2 linked regions of the Cricetulus griseus genome follow. The protein of the gene in region 2 interacts with the protein of the main gene of each other region in a pairwise test. Links are inferred from orthologs where the notes say so. Each region holds a gene or a part of one and is shown on either strand. Other genes may lie near its edges.

What was found.
Region 1: the proteins of Raf1 (region 2) and Rras interact in a two-hybrid assay, tested with the Homo sapiens proteins (2 studies listed by BioGRID). The link is inferred for Cricetulus griseus from reciprocal best matches to the Homo sapiens genes RAF1 and RRAS.

Annotation. Positions count from the first base shown.
Region 1 is NC_048599.1:153,902,740-153,907,305, reverse strand, and holds the start of Rras (ras-related protein R-Ras), read right to left. Parts: upstream 2,976-4,566; 5' UTR 2,936-2,975; coding exon 2,783-2,935; intron 1,098-2,782; exon of another isoform or gene 1,075-1,097; intron 743-1,074; coding exon 655-742; intron 549-654; coding exon 446-548; intron 362-445; coding exon 253-361; intron 1-252. UniProt on the Homo sapiens protein: GTP-binding protein with GTPase activity, likely involved in the regulation of MAPK signaling pathway and thereby controlling multiple cellular processes. Regulates the organization of the actin cytoskeleton.
Region 2 is NC_048601.1:29,213,697-29,217,508, reverse strand, and holds part of Raf1 (RAF proto-oncogene serine/threonine-protein kinase), read right to left. Parts: intron 677-3,812; coding exon 649-676; intron 546-648; coding exon 418-545; intron 81-417; coding exon 1-80. UniProt on the Homo sapiens protein: Serine/threonine-protein kinase that acts as a regulatory link between the membrane-associated Ras GTPases and the MAPK/ERK cascade, and this critical regulatory link functions as a switch determining cell fate decisions including proliferation, differentiation, apoptosis, survival and oncogenic transformation.

The sequences.
Region 1 (4,566 bases), on a different chromosome or scaffold from region 2:
ACACGCCAGCTAGGGAACAGTAGTAGCAAAGGATTAGTGTAAGGGTCGGGACTGTGGTGCAGTGGTGGAACCTCTGCCTAGACTCTTCCAGTGAGTGCTAAGGGAGTAACTCAGTGATAAAGCACCTGCCTAGAATTTCCCAATGAGTGGCTGGGGGTGTGACTCAGTGCAGAAGACCCAGTGTAGGAGAGGTTTCCCTGCAAGAGCCTCCCAGGTCCAAATGGGGTCATCAGGTAAGGGGACATCTCAAACCTGGCGCTGTGTCTCCAGATCTGCCTTGTTCCCAACTAGCACAACGGGGAAATCGTCACGGTCCTTGACTCTGAGGATCTGCGTGAATAGCTTGCCCACCTCATTGAAGCTGCAAGAGAAGCCAGTAGTGAGAGGCTGCCTCTGGGAGGAACCTGTCGTGTGCTCAGTCCGGTGCACCAGTGCTCCCCCTCACCTCTGCCTGTCATTAATTGCAAACACCAGCAGGAAGCCGTTGCCAGCACGCATGTACTGCTCCCGCATGGCACCAAATTCCTCTTGACCAGCAGTGTCCAGAACTGTGAGACAGGGAGAGGAATATGTGGGTCCTAGGCTGCCCTGGGGATGCTCATAGGTTCTCTCAGCCCTGCTATCTGCCTCCCATCCAAGCCCAGCCATCCTCACTGTCCAGCCGTGCAGGGATGCCATCCACAGTGCAGATCTTTGTGTAGGAGTCCTCAATGGTGGGGTCGTAGTCAGACACGAAGTAGGACTGGAGGACAGAGAGAGGTCACTGTCATCAAAGCATTTTGTGTGTGTGTATGTGTGTGCCTGTGAGCCCTGTCCCTAGATCTTGCCCTCAGTCTCTGTCCCACTCTGGGTCTCTCTCTCTCTCGGTCTCTGTCTCCTCTCGTTCTCTGGGCCCATCCCTCCCCCTTGTCTCAGTGTACCTGTCTCTCCCCACTGCTGTCCGTGTCGTCTGTCTCTATCTGGGCCTGGCTGTCCCATCTCTTTCCCTCTCCATCTCGCTGACTCTCTGCCCTGCCTGGCTATTCTGATTCCATCTTTCTGACTGACTGTCCCCAGGTCATGGATCCCTGTTACCAATCCCGTTGTTCTCTCTCTTGGGGCCTCTGCTTTCTTCAGTGTAAAGTATCTTCCTTTGCCATGATCACTCCCAGCTGCAAAGTCACTCCAAACAAATCACTTTCCCTCTCTGAGTCTCAGTTTCCTCATTTGGAGAAAGGATGAACACACTATACATCTGACAGTGTTTGATTTGCAGGAATTCTCTCCTCAACACTTAACGCTTGGCCTGGTGATAGTCAATGATCAGGTTCTGAGACCTCTAGTTGACCAAAGCAGCTGCCTATCTTGCCTGTCTCTCTTTCTTCCCTTCCTCCCCCTTCCTTCTTCCCTCCTCCACTCCTTCCTCTGTGAGCAGCCAGTGTCTCCTCCCTGGGGAAGGTCTAGGTTCCAATGCTGCTTAGAAGAGTCTGCCCCACCCTCAACCTGCCCCTCCCTTCCTGCCTGGGTCCTGCTGCCTCCAGCCAGACCTCTGGCCAGCTCTGGGTTTGGCCCTGAGTGCCAAGGGCTCAAATTTGGGCTCTTCTTCCGCTGTAGGCTTCTCACAGGCATTGATGGAGGTGCCTCGTGTGTGTATGTCTGTCACCCAGGAACCTCTACTGCAGCGAGTGGGCTCTCACCTTCCTAGTGTTGCCCTGACCAGTGTGGGGATGGTGTTGGGGGGGGGGGACTCCCTGTGGGAACTGGGTGGAGGTTTCCGGGGCTGGGCTGGATTTTCAGAACTTGGCTGCTGGGACTGAAGGTGGCTTCCTCTCTAGAGGGTGTTTGTTGAGGGCTGGGGCTGGAAGGGTGAAGGAGCAGAGCCTGGTGAGGATGAGGCTTGGTTTGTGTGGGGGAGACTATAGGAGATGCTCAAAGGTGAGAACAGCCTGGAGCACGCTTGGAGGGTAGGTTTATGATGTAGTGGTGCATTTATGGGTCCTAGAATCTTCCAAGTAGCTGGTCTTTGGAGGTTGTGGAAAACCTGAGGTTTCTTTTTTTGGTTTTGTTTTTAACCTGGAGGTGACCTGGGAGCTACCCAGGATTTCCAGAGGTGAGGGCAGGGAGTTGGAGTGGAGTGAAGATCTTAGAGTAGAAAAATGGTAGATTTTCCTTGGGTTGGGGTGGGGTGGGAGAGTGAGGGTCTGCATTTAGCAGAATAAGATACTGCCAGATATTGGTGTTTTCCTAGAATGGCAGGATCTTCCTAAGGTCTGAGGGGAAATCTTCAGCAGGGGTTACAGAGTCCTATCTAGAACCAACGTCTGGGCAAAATTTTCCAAAGTTTGGGAGATGCTCCCTGAATAGAGGGACTAGGGCTCCAGCTGTGGGAATGTCAAAAGTACAGAGCACAGCTGCTGGGCCAAGTCGGGCTCTTGGGTGGTTAAGAGGTTAATAAGCTGGGACTTCGGGCAGGCAAGGTTCAGGTGTCAGGGCCTCACGCTTAGGATCTGAATGGAGCAATTATTTAGAATTTAGGGTAAGCAGGGCCAGGTCCGCTCTCAGGACTCTCAGGTACCTCAGGGAGGGTGATCTGCCTCGGGACGTATTAGGAGAAAGCTCTCCGCATGAAGGGGGTGGAGGCCTTGGGCACTTTGAGTAGCGATCTGCAGGGATCTTTTAGGATTAGAGACCCTCTTAGAAGAGTCTCAGTGATGGCTCTGGGAGAAGTTAAGAGTTCCAGGGAACCCCCAAAGGGCTCAAATTCTCGTTCTTGGGGACACCCTCCCCGGTGAGGGCCCACTACCTGGATGAACTGGATGGTCAGCGCGCTCTTGCCCACGCCGCCGCCGCCCACGACCACCAGCTTGTGAGTCTCGCCGGGCGGGGGGTCCCTGGGTCCCGGCCCCCCGCCCCGGGGCCGCCCCCGCCCAGTCCCGGACGCCGCCCCGCTGCTCATGTCGCCACCGCTGCCGCCGCTGTCGCTACCGCCTGGGGGGGGAGTCAGGAGAAACCAAGGCGTGGGTTATGCTAATAAGAACTGCATAAACATGAGCTCCGGACTGCAGGATGCGCGTCTCCCGATGCTCCGGGAGAAGGCGAGGCCAGGGAAAGGGAGGAGCTATATTAATAAGTAAGAGTAGGGGAAACAAGTTGGCAAAGACCGGAACTCCAAGGGGGCGGGGATATGCTAATATAGATCAGTGCCCACCCGTAGCCCAGCCACGTGCTCCTTTCAGACAGTCCACCTTTGGGAGGAGCTATGTTAATAAAGCCCCATGTTAGGGCGAGAAGTTCTTGCAGGGCGGACATATGCAAATGAGGACACCAGAGGTAGTGGTTATCTAAGGACCACCCCTGGGTATTTCTGGTAGGTGGGGCTCGAGGTTTCAGGGCCGTATATAGGGCGCTTTTAGGAAGCTCAGGTCTCGGAAGAGAAGCTCCGCCTCCTTCCTGGGATCGTCGCCAGCTTTCTGCCCCGGCGTTGGTCTACAAGCTGGAGTCTTGCCTCGACAAGGGACTCAGGCTTCCGGTTCCCCATGTCCCAGCCAAACGGAAGATAGTCTGGGAGGGAAGCTGGGGCCCTGGAGGGGGACAGCAGGGTAACGGGGCAGGGACGGACGGGCGGGCTGTGAGATCACCACATTCCTAATCCATGAGCCAGCGCATCCTATTCGGGAAGTCCGGGGCCAGAAGGCCCTACAGCCAGGGTCTCGGGTTTGGAGGAGGCAGTTGATGACTCAGGCAACTGGTTCCTACGAGTGCATGGAGTTGGAGACTTGGATTACCGGGTCCTAGGGAGAACGGGGTTTCGGGAGGGGCTCCGTGCTATTAGATTAGGTCCTGGGGAAGCTGAGAGCTCGGGGCCGGAGGACCGAGTCTGGGGACTCGGAATTCCGGGCTCGAGGGCATGAGTGCGCGAGGGAAGGATTGCGGAGGCTTGTGTAATAAGGTGCGCTATGGACCTCAGGAACGGGTCAGAGAGGAGGACTGAGTCCCAGGAGGAGGGAAGTGAGTCTCCACTTTTCTGTTCCGAGTCAGAGGACTCAGGTTTCGGACTTTACTGCCTGAGTAAGGACGCTGTGGTCTGATTTAGTAGAGATTATTGTAAATCCAAGACTATCTTGGACATCTTAGAATGAGCTGTCTCAGAATAAAAAATAAAAAGAGAGCTGTAGGTGATGCTCAATAATGGAGCGCGTCCTAGCATGTATGAGGGTCTAAATTCAATCTCCAGTGCCCCTAAAATGAGTCATTTAAACTGGGCGTGGTGGCGGACGCCCGTAGTCCCAGCACTAGGGAAGCAGAGGCAGGATGACAGTCTGCAGCAAGTTCCAGGGCAGTCCCAAAAAGCCTCCTTGGGACTTCGAGGGGAAAAAAATGACAAGGGTCTCCAATTCAGAAAATGGGCGGGGTAGAGTCTAGTTTCACTGAATTGAACTTCAATTCCCATGGATCTCCACAGCGGAGCACCTTTTTTACATCACTTCCTGATCCGCCGCCCTTTCCCCGCGCACGCAGGGCACTGTGGTGGGCCTTACCGCGCGCTCCAGCAGCCCCGCCCACTTCACCTTTCACCCCTACACTGTC
Region 2 (3,812 bases):
GATCCAATCCGAGTGGACAGCATCACCTCACTGGCTTCTATTTCCCAGTAATAGCTTGAATCTCTCTGCCCACGAGGCCTCTGAAACAAGTGGAAATCATTCATAACCCATAGAATGCCAACAGCCTGCTGAGAGCAAGATTATCAAAGAGTCATCCCACCCCCATCTGTTCCTGCTTCCTTTAAAGATGGGCACTGTCATTGCAGCTACAAGTTTGTCTTTGAGGAGATACCAGTTTACTGAGTTGTAGCCAAATGGCAACTTACAGACAATGAACATGCTAGGGGACACTGCATTCATTTTCCTTCAGTATTTTTAATAGGTTCCCACCCCCAAATATGTTAAATGCATCCGAATTTCTAAGAGTTTATCTTTACTAAGCCCGGAGGGGCAGGAGGTATTATCAGCCATACTCACAATTTTGTTTTTTTCCTGGGTCCCAGATCCTGGTGCCCGTTCTCTTTGTGCTGGCACAGGGGTTTTAGGCTGCGACCATCCTGTTGGGCTCAGGTTGTTGGGGCTGCTGGACAGGGCTGAAGGTGAGGCTTAATAGACAAGACAAACAGAATCCGAACGTAGATAAGCCAACAAAAGATCACAGCATAGAGAGAAAAAGCCCATTACTGATCATTAAATGGGGTAAAGTACCTGATTCACTGTGACTTCGAATTGCATCCTGAAACAGAAAACAAAAGCTAATCAGATACACTAGAAAAGGCTCTTTCTCTTGGGGGTGGGAGGGAAGGTTGTAGGAACAAAGTAATTACTAACCCTCTAAAATATAAAGTATACTTCCATACTCCTAATTTCCTGGTTTACCTAATGCCCAAAGCAATTTTTTTAAAGAATGATTTCTATTAAATCCTACATGACGTGAGTCTAACTTTTCATGGAAACCACATCATTTCTCAGAAACAAACCTTCAGCAAAGGCTGGCATCTCCCCCACAGACTCAGGATCCTGTTCTGCTGAGGTTTAGCCAGAGACAGAGAGACAGAGATCCAGTGACAGGCTCATTTTTACTTTAGTAAGAGTAAAGGACAAATATGGACCAAAGCTGGATTTAACACAGGTGAGTACTACTTAAAGCCTAAGTTACAGGGAACTGAAAAAACATGAACCCCAGAGCCTAAATCCTGTGTGTACATCTTAAAACCCACATGGACAGGAGGGGAGACTCAGTAAGGGTCACAGAGCAGTGAGTGGCAGAAATGGAACCATCACATATGGATCTCAGCTCCATTAGCATGAGATACTACTTCAAACCTTAGTGATGTTCTCAAGCTGGCTACATTTTCTTATGTAACAAACCAAATCTACTAGACACTATAAACACTGTTTGAAAAATGGTTCGGAAACACAGGGACCTACCTCCACCAGACATTGTTTTTAAGATTTTATTTTTGATGTGTATGTGTTAGAATGCAAGTGCCCATGATCCCAAAAGACAGTGTGGGATCCCCTGAAGCTGGAGTTACAGGCAGTTATGGCCTTCCTGACATGGGTGCTTGGACTTGAACTTGGGTCCTCAAGGGCAGCACATACTCTAACTGCCAGAAGAGGATGTTACATCCTCTGGAACTGAAGTCAGAAACAGTTGTGAGCCTGCATGTGGTGCTGGGACCTGAACCAGGGTCCTCTGCAGAACAAATGCTCTTAACTGCTGGGCCATCACTCCAGCCATATTTTTTGGTTTGTTTTTGATACAGGGTCTCATTGTGTAGATCAGAATGGTCCTGAACCTGCCATTCTTCTGCCTCAGCCTTGTTAGTGCTGTGATTATAGGCATGTGCCACCACACCTACCTTTCAAAGATAGCTTTACAAGAGTAAAAGAACCACAAACCAAGCTATTGCTCTCTCTCTCGTCTCTGTCTCTCTCTCTGTCTCTCTGTCTCTCTGTCTCTCTCTCTCTCTCTCTCTCTCTCTCTCTCTCTCTCTCTCTCTCTCTCTCTCTCACACACACACTCACACACACACACACCATTTCAACCAGCTTACCCAAGTATTGTTAACAGCATAGAGTAAAGCCTAATTCTGATTCCCAAACCTGGCCTGTGTAAAACATCCACAGAGATGCTTAAAAATCCAGATCCTTGGGGCTCAGGAGAGGGCTCAGTTGCTGAAGAGCTTGCCATGTGAGCACAGAGTGGCAGCACATGCCTGTGAGCCCTGCACTGGGAAGGTGGGGAAAGGAGGATCCTAGAGGCTCGATGACTGGCCAGCCTAGCCTAACCAAGAAGCTCCAGATTCAATGAAAGACCCTATTTCAAAACACAGAATGGAAAGAAAATTGGGGCAGACACCTGGCATCCTACCTCCACACACCTGCACACACACTACAGATTCTCACTCTACAACTCAAACTAGGTCTGATGATTTGTGTCTGTGAGGGAAAGGTGAAAAAGCCTGCTGTCTGTATAAAGAAGCATGGCAAGTGGGAGAAATATTGGCCATTCAACCAATCTCTTCTGTTATTTTTGGTTTGGTTTGTGTTTTTCTTTTTTGAAACAGGGTTTCTCTGTGTAAGTCTGGCTGTCCTGGAACTCACTTTGTAGACCAGGCTGGCTTTGAACCCTGGAGATCTGCCTGCTTCTTCCTCCCAAGTGCTGCGGTTAAAGGCCTGTGCCACTATGCCTGGCTTATTTTTTCCACCCTTTTCAATGACACATGATTCAACATTTTAGTGTGGATATTGTTTGGCTTACATCAGTTATGTTCTTCTAAAATAGTACTTAAATCTGGGAACACATAAAAATTTATCCTGGGATTATGCTATCCAATTATAGTAATTACCACCAAATAAAATACAAAGAAGGAAAAGGCAAGAGACTTTAAGAAAAACTATCGTGCTATACTCTGGAATATAATTATAATAAAAAAAATTCCCAAAGAGGTCCAGGTGGTGATGTTGCATACTTTAATCCCAGCACTTGGAAGGCAGAAGCAGGTGAATCTGAGTTAGAGGCCAGCCTGTCCATGAAGTGAGTTCTAGGACATCCAGAGGTACACAGAAAAATAACATCAAAAAAGGGGGGGTGGGGAGACAAGAATTAATTTTCTTCTGAGGCACAATTAGGATTAAACACAATACTTGTGTTACTTACATTAGAAATTGGAAATTTTTCACTTTGAATGTATTAACAATTTATATAGGAACAAATTGTGCATGAAAAGAAAATGGCTACTTCATAATTGTATATAAATGTATAGAACCAATCATTATGATAAAGCCCATAGCTTACACAGGCAGGGCAAGTGGTTAAAGGTGATTTGTAGCTCAAGAAAAATTGCACCTAAGATGGCAGGTATCGAGGAACAAATTTTGCAAAGATGAGAAAGCATAGTTATATGGCCATGACTACTGTCTTTTTAATTTGAAACAGGATCTCATTGTGTTGTCTAGGCTGGTACTGAATAAGGTCCTCCAAAGTGGTGGGATTCTAGGTATGTGCTAGAATGTCATACTTTGCAATTGGGTGTTTTTAGGTCATATCAACCAAATGGGTAAAATGTTTTGGTTTCTAATGTCTGAACTCAGTACAGATGCTGAGTTACTATTATCAGTCCATCATTTGTCTTTTGACATAACTGAGTTTTTAAAAACTATTTCAATGCCCTTGCCTCCAAGAATCTACCTTGAGAAATTCACCTAGCAGTAGTAACTTGCATAGTGTTTATTTTACTCATATTCTATAGAAAAGAAAGAAAACATAGCAAAAGTCTGAGTAGAACTGTAAATTAGTGTATCCATTGTCTCACGTGATAGTCTAACATCTGACAGTCTAACCTGTTAAACCCAAGAAGCAAAGG